3 linked regions of the Ovis aries genome follow. The protein of the gene in region 2 purifies or fractionates together with the protein of the main gene of each other region. This does not show direct contact. Links are inferred from orthologs where the notes say so. Each region holds a gene or a part of one and is shown on either strand. Other genes may lie near its edges.

Region 1 (4,829 bases), on a different chromosome or scaffold from region 2:
TCAAATTGCCAACATCTGCTGGATCATCGAAAAAGCAAGAGAGTTCCAGAAAAACATCTATTTCTGCTTCATTGACTATGCCAAAGCCTTTGACTGTGTGGATCACAATCAACTGTGGAAAATTCTTCAAGAGATGGGAATCCCAGACCACTTGAACTTCCTCTTGAGAAATCTGTATGCACGTCAGGAAGCAACAGTTAGGACTAGACATGGCACAACAGACTGGTTCCAAATAGGAAAAGGAGTACGTCAAGGCTGTATATTGTCACCCTGCTTATTTAATGTATATGCAGAGTACATCATGAGAAACGCTGGGCTGGATGAAGCACAAGCTGGAATCAAGATTGCCAGGAGAAATATCAATAACCTCAGATATGCAGATGACACCACCCTTATGGCAGAAAGTGAAGAACAACTAAAGAGCCTCTTGATGAAAGTGAAAGAGGACAGTGAAAAAATTGGCTTAAAATTCAACATTCAGAAAACTAAGATCATGGCATCTGGTCCCATCACTTCATGGCAAATAGATAGGGAAACAGTGGCTGACTTTATTTTTCTGGGCTCCAAAATCACTGCAGATGGTGACTGCAGCCATGAAATTAAAAGACACTTACTCCTTGGAAGGAAAGTTATGACCAACCTAGACAGCATATTCAAAAGCAGAGACATTACTTTGCCAACAAAGGTCTGTCTAGTCAAGGCTATGGTTTTTCCAGTAGTCATGTATGGATGTGAGAGTTGGACTATAAAGAAAGCTGAGCACCAAAGAATTGATGCTTTTGAACTGTGGTGTTGGAGAAGACTCTTGAGAGTCCCTTGGACTGCAAGGAGATCCAACCAGTCAATCCTAAAGGAAATCAGTCCTGAGTACTCATTGGAAGGACTGATGTTGAAGCTGAAACTCCAATACTTTGGCTATCTGATGTGAAAAAAAAAACTGACTCATTTGAAAAGACCCTGATGCTGGGAAAAACTGAAGGCAGGAGAAGGGGATGACAGAGGATGAGATGATTGGATGGCATCACCGACTCAGTGGACATGAGTTTGAGTAAACTCCGGGAGTTGGCGATGGACAGAGAGGCCTGGTGTGCTGCAGGCCATGGGGTCGCAAAGAGTTGGACAGGACTGAGTGACTCAACTGAACTGAACTGAACACTGAGGAAACTTTTAAAGGGCACAAATAAGTACCCTTATTTGTAAGCGTACTTATTTGGTATCTGCCTTTAAGCCTTGTATCGTTGATGCAATCAAATTTCTGCTTAGAATCTCAGTCATTAACAGGAACTCCAAAGCCATCTGTCTCTGAAGACTGTGAGGTGGGCCATGGTCTCCTCTAGCTCTGTATCAGGCAAAATCTCCTAGGAAAGTAGAGAAAGCCTGGTTTTCCATGTATCACATCACCACCAACCAAACTGTCCACATCTTAGGCCTGCCCCAGCCAGCATGGGGGCACATACCCTTTGTCTGAGGGCAAGGGATCTCAGGCCCACCCACACAAATCTCAGGTGGTGGTGGGGCACCTGGGGCAGGCAGGATCCAGGGTGCCACGGGTCAAGCCCTAGACCCCTTCCTGCTGGTGGCACAACACTGTGGACCACTTGTCTCCTCCACTGTGTCTCAGTCAGGCCCTCCCTGAAGCTCCAGATAGTTCTCCAGAGACTACTACTGAGGAGCATGTGACAGTCCGCAGGTCAGTCATGCCTGAAGAAGAGTTTCATTTCGGATGCGAGTGCCTTAAAAAAGTGACTGAAGACTTGAGAAACTAGAAAAAGAACAAACTAAATCCAAAGCAAGCTAAAGTTAGGAAAAACAAATATTAAAGTAAGAGATCAGTGGAACAGAAAAACAATGAAACCAAAAGCTGGTTCTTTGAAAAAAATCAACAAAATTAAACCTTCGGTAAGGCTGACCAAGAGAAAAACAGAGAAAATACAAATTGCCAAAATCAGGAATGAAAAAAGGGTTATCACTACTCAAAGGGTTATCACTACTGACCTTCTAGAGTTAAAAAAGATTACAGGACAATACTATGAACAACTTTAAGCCACAAAATTAAACAACTTAGATGAAAGGGACAAATTCCTAGACACACACAAATTAACGACACAAAAGGAAAAAAAAAAAAAACAGTACATCTGAGTAGACCTACAATGAGAATTTTTGAATTAGTAATTAAGAATCTTCCAGCAGAGAAAAGTTCAAGTCCACATGGCTTGTTCTATCAAACATTTAAAAATGAAGACTTCCCTGGTTGTTCAGCGGTTAAGAATCTGCCTGTCAATGCAGGAAACTTGAGTTCAGTACCTGGTTCAGAAAGATTCCACATGCCTCAGGGCCACTAAGCCCATAAGCCTTAACTATTGAGCCCAGGTGCCTACAGCCCGTTCTCCAGAAGGAGAGAAGCCACCACAATGAGAAAGAAGCCCGTGCACCACAACTAGACAAAGACCAAGTGCACCAACAAAGACCCAGCGCAGCCAAAAATAATTAAAATAAGAAATACATTTCTAAAAAATTCAAAAAAGAAATCACAATCCTTCACAAACTCTCCCAGAAAACAGAGGGAAGACTCTCCAGCCTAAGAGACCAGTATTACCCTGACACCAAAACCAAAGATATAACAAGAAAACTATAGTGACTGACATCTCTCATGAATACAGGCAAAAATCTTCAACAAAATATTAGTAAACCAAATCAAGACCATACAAAAAGGATTATACACTATAGCCAAGTGGGATTCATTCTAGGAATGATGTTGGTTTAATATCCCAAAATCAATTATCATAGTGCCATGTTAGTAGAATAGAGGATAAAAAACCACACAAACAAACAAAATTCAACATCCATCCATAATAAAACCTCTGAATAAACTAGAAATAGAGAACTTACTTAGCCTTATAAATAGAAGTCTACCAAAAAGCCCTGCAGCAAACATCATACTTACTGGTATCACACTTAAGTACTCAGAAAGACTGAATCCATTCTCTTTAAAACTGGGAACAAGGTAAGAGTGTCTGTTTTCACCAATTCTGTTCAACATATTGGAGGTCCTGGCCGATACAATCATGCAGAGGGATTTTTTTTAAATGGATGTTAGATTATGTCATTCATCTACTCAAAAATATCCAGCGGCTTCCTATTTCGCTGAGAATAAAGCCCCACGTGATCCGAGTCCTTGTCTACCCTTGTGACTTCTCCATAATCCACTCCTCCTATTGCTCAATTCATCTCTAGCTACACTGGTCTCCTTTGTTCCTCAAAACATTAAGCATGCTCCTATTTCAGGGCCTCCAAAGTTACTGAACTCTATGCCTGGCATGTTATTCGCCAAGATATACACACAGCTCATACTACTTCATCTTGTACATATTTCTGTACAGATTTTAGTTTCTCATGGAGGCCTTCTTTCATCACATGGTCCCTCCCTATTCCCTTTTCCTGCTTTATTTTTCTTCATACATATTCATTTGTTTATATTCCACTAGAATTTAGGCTACAGGAGACAAAACTATTTTCACTGCTACATTTCAAACACTTAAAACTGTGCCTGGCACATAGTGGACACTCAGTAAATAGGCACTGAATGAATGGATATCTTTAAAAGGAAAAGACATTCATATTCAAGAGAATGAATAAAGGCAGGGTTGGGGCCGGTGGGGTGGGTGGAACCACTGTCCCAAGAGGCTGAGAAGGACTGGGGTTTTAGGCCTCGGCTGAAGAGTTAGTGTAGAATAATAGAAAAAACTTGGCTTTTTAGAGCCAGATTCTTTTAAATTCTAAGTTTATTAGCTCTTCCAGTCACTGCCTGTGTGTCCCTCTCTGCTGCTGCTGCTGCTAAGTCGCTTCAGTCGTGTTCGACTCTGCGACCCCACAGATGGCAGCCCACCAGGCTCCACCATCCCTGAGATTCTCCAGGCAAGAACACTGGAGCGGGTGTGTCCCTCTCTTAAGTCTCTATAATTTATAAAATGAGAATATCACCACCTACCTTTCAAGGTGTGATGAAAAGAAAATCAATTTATGTAGAGCATTCAATATAGCATCTGATACCACAGCAGACACTGCAAGTAATTAAACATTCTTTGATACTACTGGCCTTCAAGAACTACCTTAAAAATTACCTAGCCCTACCTTACTGAAGTGTACAGATGTCTACAGGGCTGTTGCCCTTAAAGTACAGCCTTCATACCCATTTGACTTTTCTGTCTTATCATTCTTCTTTTATATCTCCCTTACAGTTGGCTTTCAGCTCTCACCTCTGCTGCTAATATAGCAGCTCCTCCTCCCCTTTATATGCCCTGTTCTTAATCTTCTGGGGGTTTAGAAACCAGATTGTTAAGCTTGTTACAACAAAACATAAAAACAGGAATAAATTAGCACTGTGCAAGGTATTAAGGATAACAATGCTTTGCTACCTTTTGTTTTTTAGCTGGATTCTGGAAAATTGAGGATGTTAGATAAATAAGCTATTATATGAGTATCAGTATATTATACAGTTTTTTACATGGAACCATTCATATTTTAAAAGAATCAACAATGGAACTACTTAGCAGGGCAGTTGTCATAAGAACAGTAAAATCCAAGCTTGATGCCCAGGCCATGGAAAGGCCAGAAGCTAAAGAACATTAGATTAACCAAGACAAAAGAGATGACAGCCAAGTGTCTGGAGACTTAGAAAAGGAGGGAAGGTTGGCCAAAGTGGATTTCCAGGAGCCTCAGGTGGAGGAACGGATCCCTCTGTGGACCCTCAGGCGGGCAGTGGGAAGAACAGAATGTCCCTTACTACAGAACACGAAGAGAGTATGAAGACCTCTATCACCAGCCAAGGG
Region 2 (4,829 bases):
GACTACAAAATAAACTTTATACTAAGTCCAGTTTGATGACACAAGACTTAGGTGCTAACAAAATACACTGAGCATCACCAGAAGACAGACTTTTTGGAGTTTCCTCTCACATCACAGCAAATTGAATTTGTAGTGTATTTTCTCTGGTTCTAAATTTAGTCCCAGATACTTAGCTAGTAATTTAAATTCAGATTTTAGACCTAGGCTGAATATCTTTTGCTATCTTATAGAGGGAGTAGAGGGAGAATGCTAACAAGTGCAATATGTTGTTTTTCAAGAAGATGTAATATTTCCAAATTTTAATGAATATCAAGGCCTAAAGATTTGGTATAATATATTTAGGTTCATTAATTATTTTAAGTACTGATTAATTTATGTATTTGGACTTACTAACAATATATTGCTTGCAGCTTTGAGGACCGTCTGCTAGGAGACAGTGCGAATGAGGGTAAACTATTGGATTTATATACGAAATAATTGATGACCATTTCTTAATATAGTAGTTTGGGTTTGAACTTGGGCCTCCACAGTGGATAACTTGGAAGTTACCTATCTATGCCAAAGTTTCTTCCCTTGTAAAACGGTGATATAGTAGGATCTATCATGTGTACCTCCCACAGTTGTGAGGATTAGATAAAACACATAAAGTACCTCTTGTAAAAAGGAGATTACATAAAGTCTCTTTTAAGAAAAGGTAAAAATCACATATAGTTACCTAAAAATAACCATTTGTGGGGGATAGTTGTTTTCCAGTCTTGATTTATTTATGCATACTTCTTGCGTAGTACAAACTATAGTATTCTGCTTTTCTTCTTTTTAAACAAAATGTGATAGATGGTCCAGTTTCATCATTAACATTTCTTAATAGGCAATGTTAATAGCAGCATGATAGAATATCCTGTGCTTAACATAGATTTTCAGTAAATTTCAGCCATTGGATATTTCCAGATTGGTAATTTCCACTGTTTACTTTTATAAATAATGCTGTTTTTAACTAACTTGTTTCTTAGGTCTGAAGAAGACACTTGAATCATGGGTGATGTTAAAAATTTCCTGTATGCCTGGTGTGGCAAAAGGAAGATGACCCCAGCATATGAAATCAGAGCAGTGGGGAACAAAAACAGACAGAAATTCATGTGTGAGGTATTAAAAAAAATACATTTTGCATTTATGTGACTTTAAGGCTTATTTTATTAAAAGAATAATGTTTTCTGTTTGGAAATGTTAATGTGTTGTACATTGGATTATGTCCTTTATTGTGACTTCCCTGCTATTTCTATCATTATAAATCATTTTCAAGTGATATGAAATCAATCATTTAAAAAAAACTTTTGGCTGCACCACACAGCTTTGGGGATCTTAATTCCCTGACCAAGGGTGGACCCGATGTCCCCTGCAGTGATAGCACTGAGTGCTAACCACTGGACAGCCAGGGAATTCCCTGAGCGTTACTTTTAAAACATCGTGGTAGGTAAATTATTCTAATTAAAACAATGTGTCTTTCACACTTTATGCACTACCAGTAATGCAGACTAGAAAAATTGGATTAACTTTGTCTGTAGTTAGTTACTAATTCCAGTAGAAAGTAGGTGCATTCTTAACTGCTTCACATCAGAGAGCTTTAAAATAAGTACGGCTAGTTTATTCTTTGGTCTTGTAAAATCAGATTTTAATGTGGAACTTAATGTTGTATTAGAAGAAATTATATGAGCCACATAAGTTAACATTCTTGCTTTTGGATTAGTTTATCACTGGACAGTATGAATTAAGCACTTTTTTATAAGATAGCATGTGAATTCTCTTAGGTATGTTATTTTCACTATGTTTATAAAGTATATCTCCAATAATTAACTGTAATCCCTTAATGGTCTAGTAAAGTATGAATTTTTTAAATCCCAAAATTACCCAGGTCACTCTCTCAATATATTTTTTTCTTGAAGGTTCGAGTGGAAGGATATAATTACACTGGCATGGGTAATTCCACCAATAAAAAAGATGCACAGAGCAATGCTGCCAGAGACTTTGTTAACTATTTGGTTCGAATAAATGAACTAAAGAGTGAAGAAGTCCCAGCTATTGGGGTAAGTATGGCCAAACAACTTGAGACGTATAAGATTATGCTAATCCAGTATGTATGGAGGCTCAGGGTGATAGTTTTTCAGTGTTGTTTTTAAATAGTATATTAATATGTTCCTTAGTGAACCTTGGGGGTGATTTGTTTTCTCAGAGAACTGGGATAATTTCCTAAAGATTTGGATTTCATTTTCATTATGTACCTGACTTGGGGATTCCCTTTAGTCGGTATGTCTTAGGGTTTTACATATTGTATTCATTCAAAACTGATTTTTCAGAGTCTGTTGTATTCTGTGTACTTCAAAAATAACATTTTAAACAGAATATAAAAATCAGTAACATTTTAAAATACATTTGCTCCCATTGACATTTTCTTAGCAGAGTTAAAATAGTATTTGGTACAGTAGAATATCATTCTTGTGTTTTTTATACCATAATTATTTTTAATTATATTGTGTGTATGCAGCAAAAGTTTTGAAAAATAAACTAAAAAGTGAAAGTTTGAATTTTCACAAAAATAGTGGTATTGCTGATGTTTTTAGAAAGTTGTATTATGAAAAAAATCACATTATGATTTAAGCAGATGCCTTAGGTATTACATGAAAGATCCAGTTTTTATAAAACCTTTAGGAATAACATTAATTTCAGCACCCTTCAATGGGTTTTTGTATTCTGACTTGCTTAGAAAGGTAAAAATACATGTTTTTTACCTTTCCATTGCATTTACCCAGGAATTGAGTTTACTTTCTAGTATGGTGTACCACTATATAATTACAAGATTTTTAATTAGTTTGGTTGAGCCATCTGTAAAATGAAAAGATTGGACAAGACGACCTTGATTCTTTTTCAGATATTTGACCCACTGGCCTTTGTTCCATGTGTTACGACCTATTCTAGTTGTGTGTTTTGGTTTTATATTTTTAAGCCTCTTCCTAGGTCTGTTGGTGGCAAACTCTTCCATCTCTTTTATGTAAAAATGTTTTTATTTTACCTTGAATAGAAGATTCAACGCAATTCTGAGGTGCCGGTTTTCTTCTAAGACTTCAAAGATCATGTTGCACTGTTGTCTAACTTCCGTTGTTGTCTGATGAGAAGTGGGCAGTAATCCAATCATTTCTGCCTATATATGTTTCCTTTGGTTGCTTTGTTTTTTTCTTTGGTTTCCAGTAGCTTGGCTGTGATGTTTTCTTTGTACTCATCCTGCTTGGAGTTTGCTGAAATTCTTGAATCTGTAAATTTATGTCTTTCATCAAATATGGGAAACTTTTGGCTATTTTTTTTTCCCCCAAATATTTCTTAATTTTTTTTTCTTCTTTTTCTGGGACTTTCATGTTAACATATATAAGAAACCTTTTGGAACTATTTTGGAGGTCCTGGACCGTCTTTTTCTCCTCCTTTCTCTGATTTTCAGATTGGATGATTTCATATATATGTTAAAGATAATCAGTATCTTCAAGTTCACTGATTATTTTCTTTGTTGGTTCTGTCAGTTCCTCCCCCCACCGCCCGCCAGATACTATCTTTTCCCCCCCCTAAGTTTATTGCCCCCCCCCCTTTTTTTTTTAAACAGGTTTTGTTTTTCTGGTGGCATTTCTTTTCATCCAGTCAGTATAAGCATACATTCATAATACGACTGAATTTCTTGTATATCATTGAGCATAGTTACAATAGCTGCTTTAAAATTCTTAACTGCTAATTCTAACATCGGGGCCATCTCAGGGTTGGGCTCTGTTGATTGTGCTTTTTTTTTCCTGTAAAAACACTGGTTTTATTATTGAAAAAAAGAAACAAAATCCTGGTGATTTGCAGTATCTATCAGCTTTCAATTTTGGCTCTCCTGTCCAGAAGTGTTTCATGCAAGAATCCATCTTTCCGGGCCTTTTTCAGAATTTTCTGTCGTCTTTCTTATTTTAAGCTTGTGGTCTTGGAAGCTCTGGAATTTTTTTTACATAATTGATTTCACACTGTTTGACGTTTCCTTTGTCTTCTGGAATAGCATCTTTTTTCTTAGTTTCTCTTTCGGTGCAGGATCTGATCTTTATCATTTCTTCTGCCGTTTTACTTTTTGCTTCTATATCACCTGCTTCATTGCATCTAATAAAACAGCTGTTGGAGGCCAGTAAAGCCATTTTCCCATCTTGAAAGACGGGTTCCCACTGCTGTCTAGGTCCAATTGCATCTGAATGCCCAACAACAATTGTGCTTTTGAGATTTTTCCTCTTTGTATGTCAAATGGTTTTGCATTATATTCTGGGCATTGTGACTATTACATTTTGGAAACTAAATGATGTTAGTCTTCCAAAGAGTATTTTGTCATTGTGTTGTCAAGCAGTTAATTGAGATGGACTTAAGCGCCAGCACTGTCTTTTGAGTGATAGTTCAGATCTCACTTCAGTTTTCTGATCCTGTGCTGGGAGGCTTGAAATCTCCTCTGCATATATATAGTTTAAAGGTTAGCCAGAGATTTGGGGAAAGTTTATACACAAGAGTTTGGGATTCCTCTTTTGTTTCCTTTCCAGGATTTCTTTCTTACTTTCTAGCAGCTTTGGTGTCCCCAAATTCTTATCCTTTGATACTTCTGGCCAGAAAGACTGGGTTTTCTATTGAGTTTTAGCTGTCTGAGATGGTCTTCCTAGTAATAAAAGGCATAATAAGCTGGAATTATACTTTCTATTTTTTGCTTTCTCATTTCAAGTTCCTTCTAGAGTTTGCAAGATTTTGTTCACTTTTTAGTGCCTGTGTATAGCTGAGGAGAG
Region 3 (4,829 bases), on a different chromosome or scaffold from region 2:
GCAAGACATGTCGAAGCCGTACACATTCTCCCACCCTGGGGAGGAGGCGGGGAGGAGGGTGAGCCCAGGGGTAGCTGGCACCCAGCCGCCCCCGCCCGTAAGCTCCCCGGGCCGCGAGCTCACAGTGGATCTTGTAGTCTTTGTACTGCCGGTCCTCGATGGCCGTCACGTACAGCGTGGCTCGGTCTGGGAAGATGAGGCCGTCGGGTGCCTACGGGGAGCAGGGCAAGGGCGTGAAGGATGGGGGACTGGGCAAGGTTGCCCCATTTTGTTTATTTATCCACCCCTGACACCACCCTGGTCTGAGCTCAGCACTTCCCAGGTGGGCTCCTGTCTCGGCCTCCTCACTGGTGCCCAGCCTCAGTCTACTCCCCAGATAGCTGCCTGATGGCTCTGAGGAGCATCTAAGTCAGATCTCGTCCTAACCTCGCCCCTCTGAGGAGTAAGGCAAAGTCTTACACATCCACGAGGTCCCATGAGACCTGCACAGGCCCACCCCCGCCCCTCACCTCCAACTTCCTTCCCGATCCGTGTTCTGCTGCAGGTTCCCTACAAGTTCCCTACACAGCGAACTCGCTGCTGCCCCAGGACCTTTGCACTGGCCGAAATCCTCTGTTAAGTGTGCCTTGCCCCTCAGATCCCATGTGGCTCCTCCCCGTCCGGGGTTCAGGTCTCGGTCAGCTCCCTGGGAGGCCTGCTCTGACAGCACCTGGGTCCACAGTCCCTCCTAATCCCTCTGGCCTGCTGTGGTTCTTTTCCAGCACCATCTCCCTGTCCCTGTCTAGCTTCCGGTACTGGGCCCCCTCCATCTTGCCCGTGGGCCTCCTAACATCCATGTAGATGTCTTCCAAGCCCTGTACTCAGTCCCCGTGGTGGGAAGTACGGAGCACAGCTTCCCTTTTCTGCCTGGACCCCCACACCGGCCTGCACGAGCCGCTCCCGCCCCGCTGGGGCCTCACCAGCCACTTGTCCCGGGCGTAGAGCACGGTGTTGAGCATCGACTCGTAGAAGAGGCAGTAGCCCATCCACTCACTGATAATGATGTCTACCTTCTCCACCGGGAGCTCCACCTCCTCCACCTTCCCCTTGATGATGGTCACCACTGCGGGGCAGACAAGGGCACATGCCACCAGCCCTGAGGACAGCCGTCTGCCTGCCTCCCCTGGGGGCCTGGGGACCCCACCGGGACAGCCTTGTCTTCTCAAGGAAGGGCTGGGGGCTGTGTTGGGGCATCTTTAAAGAACTCTGTGAGCTGAAGTCACACCCTGTCAACTTAAGTTTTTAAAATTCATTCATCAAGGGGTATTTCTGAGGCAGGAACAGAACTTGACATGAATCAGGTATGAGGTGACATTGAGATTTTGCCATTAGCAGGCAGGACCAGGGCCCGGTGCAGACAGCCCCTCACTCTAGGACACAGAATGGGAAAGGCAGCCACCCCCTTACCCGTCACGCCTCGCACACTCATGGGGAACCTGGTGCCAAACCATTTGCAGATGACCTGCTTCTGGGTCAGGGTTTTGTACGGGGCAGAGCAGCTCCCTTCCTAAAATCTACTGGAAGTCAGCCTTGGGATTCCCTGGTGGTCCAGTGGCTAAGAGTCCATGCTCCCAGGACAGGGGACTGGGGTTCAACCCCTCATCAGGGAACTAGATCCCGCACGCTGCAACTAAGACCTGACGCAGCAAAGTAAAATTTTTTTTAAAAATGAGAGAGATTTTGCCACTAACAGCCACGGTCACGTTTTGTTTTTCTGTCTGCACTGTGTAGCTTGTGGGATCTTAGTTCCCTGACGGGGGATCGAAGTGGGGCCCTAGCAGTGAAAGCAGTCCTAACCACTGGGCTGCCGGGAAATTCCCGTGGTCATGCTTTTTTAAATATTTTTTAAAATCTATTAGATACACACATGGCAGGATTTATAGTCGGAATTTGCTTCAAAAGGAGGTATTTAAAGCTCAGTGATGGGAACTTAGGAATTCATTACACTAATTTCTTTTTCAAAAAAAACCCCTTCAGCTTCTAGAATGCCAAGGGCCCTCATATCAAAAAACCCACATGTTCCCATGTCCTCTGCCCCTCAAACCTTGCAGGTGGGAAGGGCAATGTGGCACCTTCTGCCCAACTTTCTTCCACTTTTGATCCATGCAACCCTACTTTTACAAACTGACCTCACAGATAACATTAGTTCATATATGATTGATGATGACATTACAGGTGGGGGATGAAAGTCTTGGAAGCTCAAATGCCCATGACCAGGAACTTGGTTAACAGACCTGGTGTATGTGAAAATAGAGGATGGCAGTCATCAAAAAGCAAGATCCTCTCAACATCCTATCAGGTGTTAAACTACATAATACACAGGTGAAAATCACAAAGGGCATGTATGAAACATTATCTGTGTCAAAAACCAGCATGTGAATGCAGAAACATACACACACGTTTGTTCATCGGTATGAACCTCTCTGGGAGAGAGAGCTGTCTGCACTTAGAGAAGAGTGGCTGAGAGGCGGGTGGCAGACTTCTTACTATGGGCCTCATGTGCCAACCACGTGACTCTATCACTCACTGAAAAAACTCAAGATTGCTTCTTGAAATTTTTGTTTTTTTAAATAAAAGACTGAAGCACTAAGCTTGTGACTTCGACATGCAGATTCTAAGACGGCTTGTCAGGAGGTAGGTTCTGAGAAGGCTGGATTTTTGGGCTGTCCGCAGCCCAGAGCCCACCGGGGGAGGAACGCCTGAATTTGACTTCTATGGCCTCCATTCCCTTGCCAGGGGCCCCGGGGAAGCTGGGATCCCCCGCTCCCTCCCCAAAGACCCCGTTCTCTTCCTGGGCTCACCATGGTCTAACTTGTTGGCTTTGACGATCTTCACCGCATAATCAGAGATACTGGAACACTCGATCTGGGGGCCCAGGAAGAAGGGAGGGTGAGACCCCCCCCCAAATGCCACCCTCCACCCCCACTCCCCTCCACCCAATCCCTGAGCCCCAAGGGGCCCCCTTTCCGTCCCTAGGCCCAGGCCTGGCCGGCCGCCGAGGACACTCACCCCGATGACCTTGCGGGCCCCAGCCTTGGCGGCAAACATGCAGAGGATCCCTGTGCCCGAGCCCACGTCCAGCACCACCTTGTCTTTGAAAAGGTGCCGGTTGTGAAACATGGAGTTGCGGTATGTGAGGGTGCGGACCTCATCTTTCAGCATTTCCTGGCAGGGGTGGGAACAAAGAGATCATGAGGGGACTGGCGTCCCCTGCTGAAAACCAGGGTGTCCTGGCCTCCAACACACTGATCAACTTGAAGACTGGCACTCAGTCCTCAAACCTGCTTTAGTCCCCTTAGGACAAGTTATTTCCCTTCCACACGCCTCAGTTTCCCTACGTGAAATTGGACTGGATGGACCAAAATCCCATCTTAGGCATTTTCTACCCTTGCCGACTAACCCCCTGTAAAGCCTTGCCTTTAAAAAGTCCTCAGTAAGCCAAAGCCATTAAACCGCCCACGTGAAAATGGTAAATTTTGTTATGCATATTTTATAACAATATTTTAAAAAAGGAAAGAGAAAAATCTTCCCACCCCATCCCTGCTGCTTTCTGGGACCTCAGCCTCCACCACACGCAAAAGGGGTGGAGAAGACTTTCGAGCCGCTGCCGGTCACTAGAGGGCGGCAAAGACCGGTAGGCCCTGACCTCGGGCTGACGTCTCAGATGCACATGCGTCTCAGATGCACATGCGATGCACATGCGCGCTCCCACCGCGGCCTCCCAGGAGAGGACTGGTAGAGCGCCAGGCTAACCCCGTCTCCCAGGCAACGGCTGCGCGAGGCGACCCGGAGTGTGAGCTCTGCCTGCGCAGAGGGGGTGGCCCGCTGCCAGGGAAGGCAGTGCGCATGCGTCAGAGATGAATCTCCAGCTCTCCCCAACATGACCCCCTGGAAGATTCGGCACCCTCAGGAGCTGTCTGTCCATACTCACCTCGTGGATGCCGAAGTGAGCATAGGAGTCAAAGTAGTAATCTTTGGACGTCATGTCCTCAGCGTTGGGCTTCTCGCTGCTTTCTGCCTGGCCACAGGAGACCTGGGAGGGGGTGAATGGGAGCAAACGGGGTCACATCTGGGGGCTCCCCAGAGATTCGGAAGCCTCCAGGCAGGTCTACGCCCCCATGGAGTATACAGAACCACTCCCCAAACCGTACCATGGCAACCCTACAGCCCCCACCTGCCGTCTTGCCTCGCCCAGGAACCCCCCACCCCCAGAGCACCATCCAGGAGGGCACCCCCGATACCTCAGCCAGGCCTACCATCTCTCCAGTCTGTCTGCCCCCGTCTCTAGCTCAGCCCACAGCTGGGGAAGGGAGGGGAGAGGAAGGCGGAAGCGGGGCAGACACAGGGAAGGACAAAGGTGGGGTGGGGGGCTGTAAATGGAGTTAAGGAAGTAGCCACAGTATTGGGAGAGGCCAGGTGGGGGCCCAAACCTGGACGGAGTCTGGACTAAGTGTTTCGGGGGCCAAGGGTAAAGTGGTTTGAAGCCAGAGGGATCAGTTAGACCACTAAAAAGGGCGTGACGTGTGAGGAAATGTGTATGTGGGAAGGGGTCTCACAAAAGGATATTTACTTCTTCAAGAGGCGGCTGGAGGCTCATCCCATTAGCCAAGGTGGCTACAAAATTCTAGGAGAGAGTAACAGGGAGAAAGGATTAGCTACCAGGAGCGGCTAGGGGAGGGCCAGGCCAGGCGACCCGGGCTCTTGGGCAAGAAGGAGGTGTTTCCTACAATTTTGCTTTTCCTTTGTGAGCAGTGGTGGGAGAAGGAACAAGTAAAGAGGCAAGGCTGTTT

What was found. Proteins that work in one complex are often made in the same cells at the same time.
Region 1: the proteins of DHX9 (region 2) and RALY purify together in Homo sapiens (affinity purification with mass spectrometry; 3 studies listed by BioGRID and IntAct, with this or other methods). This does not show direct contact. The link is inferred for Ovis aries from reciprocal best matches to the Homo sapiens genes DHX9 and RALY.
Region 3: the proteins of DHX9 (region 2) and PRMT1 purify together in Homo sapiens (affinity purification with mass spectrometry; 3 studies listed by BioGRID and IntAct, with this or other methods). This does not show direct contact. The link is inferred for Ovis aries from reciprocal best matches to the Homo sapiens genes DHX9 and PRMT1.

Annotation. Positions count from the first base shown.
Region 1 is NC_056066.1:63,432,363-63,437,191, reverse strand, and holds part of RALY (RNA-binding protein Raly), read right to left. Parts: 5' UTR 3,068-4,829; coding exon 2,945-3,067; intron 1-2,944. UniProt on the Homo sapiens protein: RNA-binding protein that acts as a transcriptional cofactor for cholesterol biosynthetic genes in the liver. Binds the lipid-responsive non-coding RNA LeXis and is required for LeXis-mediated effect on cholesterogenesis.
Region 2 is NC_056065.1:63,347,331-63,352,159, forward strand, and holds part of DHX9 (ATP-dependent RNA helicase A), read left to right. Parts: intron 1-1,010; 5' UTR 1,011-1,032; coding exon 1,033-1,143; intron 1,144-1,940; coding exon 1,941-2,081; intron 2,082-4,829. UniProt on the Homo sapiens protein: Multifunctional ATP-dependent nucleic acid helicase that unwinds DNA and RNA in a 3' to 5' direction and that plays important roles in many processes, such as DNA replication, transcriptional activation, post-transcriptional RNA regulation, mRNA translation and RNA-mediated gene silencing.
Region 3 is NC_056067.1:55,813,598-55,818,426, reverse strand, and holds part of PRMT1 (protein arginine N-methyltransferase 1), read right to left. Parts: intron 4,666-4,829; exon of another isoform or gene 4,664-4,665; coding exon 4,610-4,663; exon of another isoform or gene 4,606-4,609; intron 4,412-4,605; exon of another isoform or gene 4,299-4,411; coding exon of another isoform or gene 4,296-4,298; intron 4,073-4,295; coding exon 3,971-4,072; intron 3,205-3,970; coding exon 3,049-3,204; intron 2,905-3,048; coding exon 2,841-2,904; intron 1,103-2,840; coding exon 960-1,102; intron 212-959; coding exon 124-211; intron 36-123; coding exon 1-35. UniProt on the Homo sapiens protein: Arginine methyltransferase that methylates (mono and asymmetric dimethylation) the guanidino nitrogens of arginyl residues present in proteins such as ESR1, histone H2, H3 and H4, FMR1, ILF3, HNRNPA1, HNRNPD, NFATC2IP, SUPT5H, TAF15, EWS, HABP4, SERBP1, RBM15, FOXO1, CHTOP, MAP3K5/ASK1, MICU1 and NPRL2.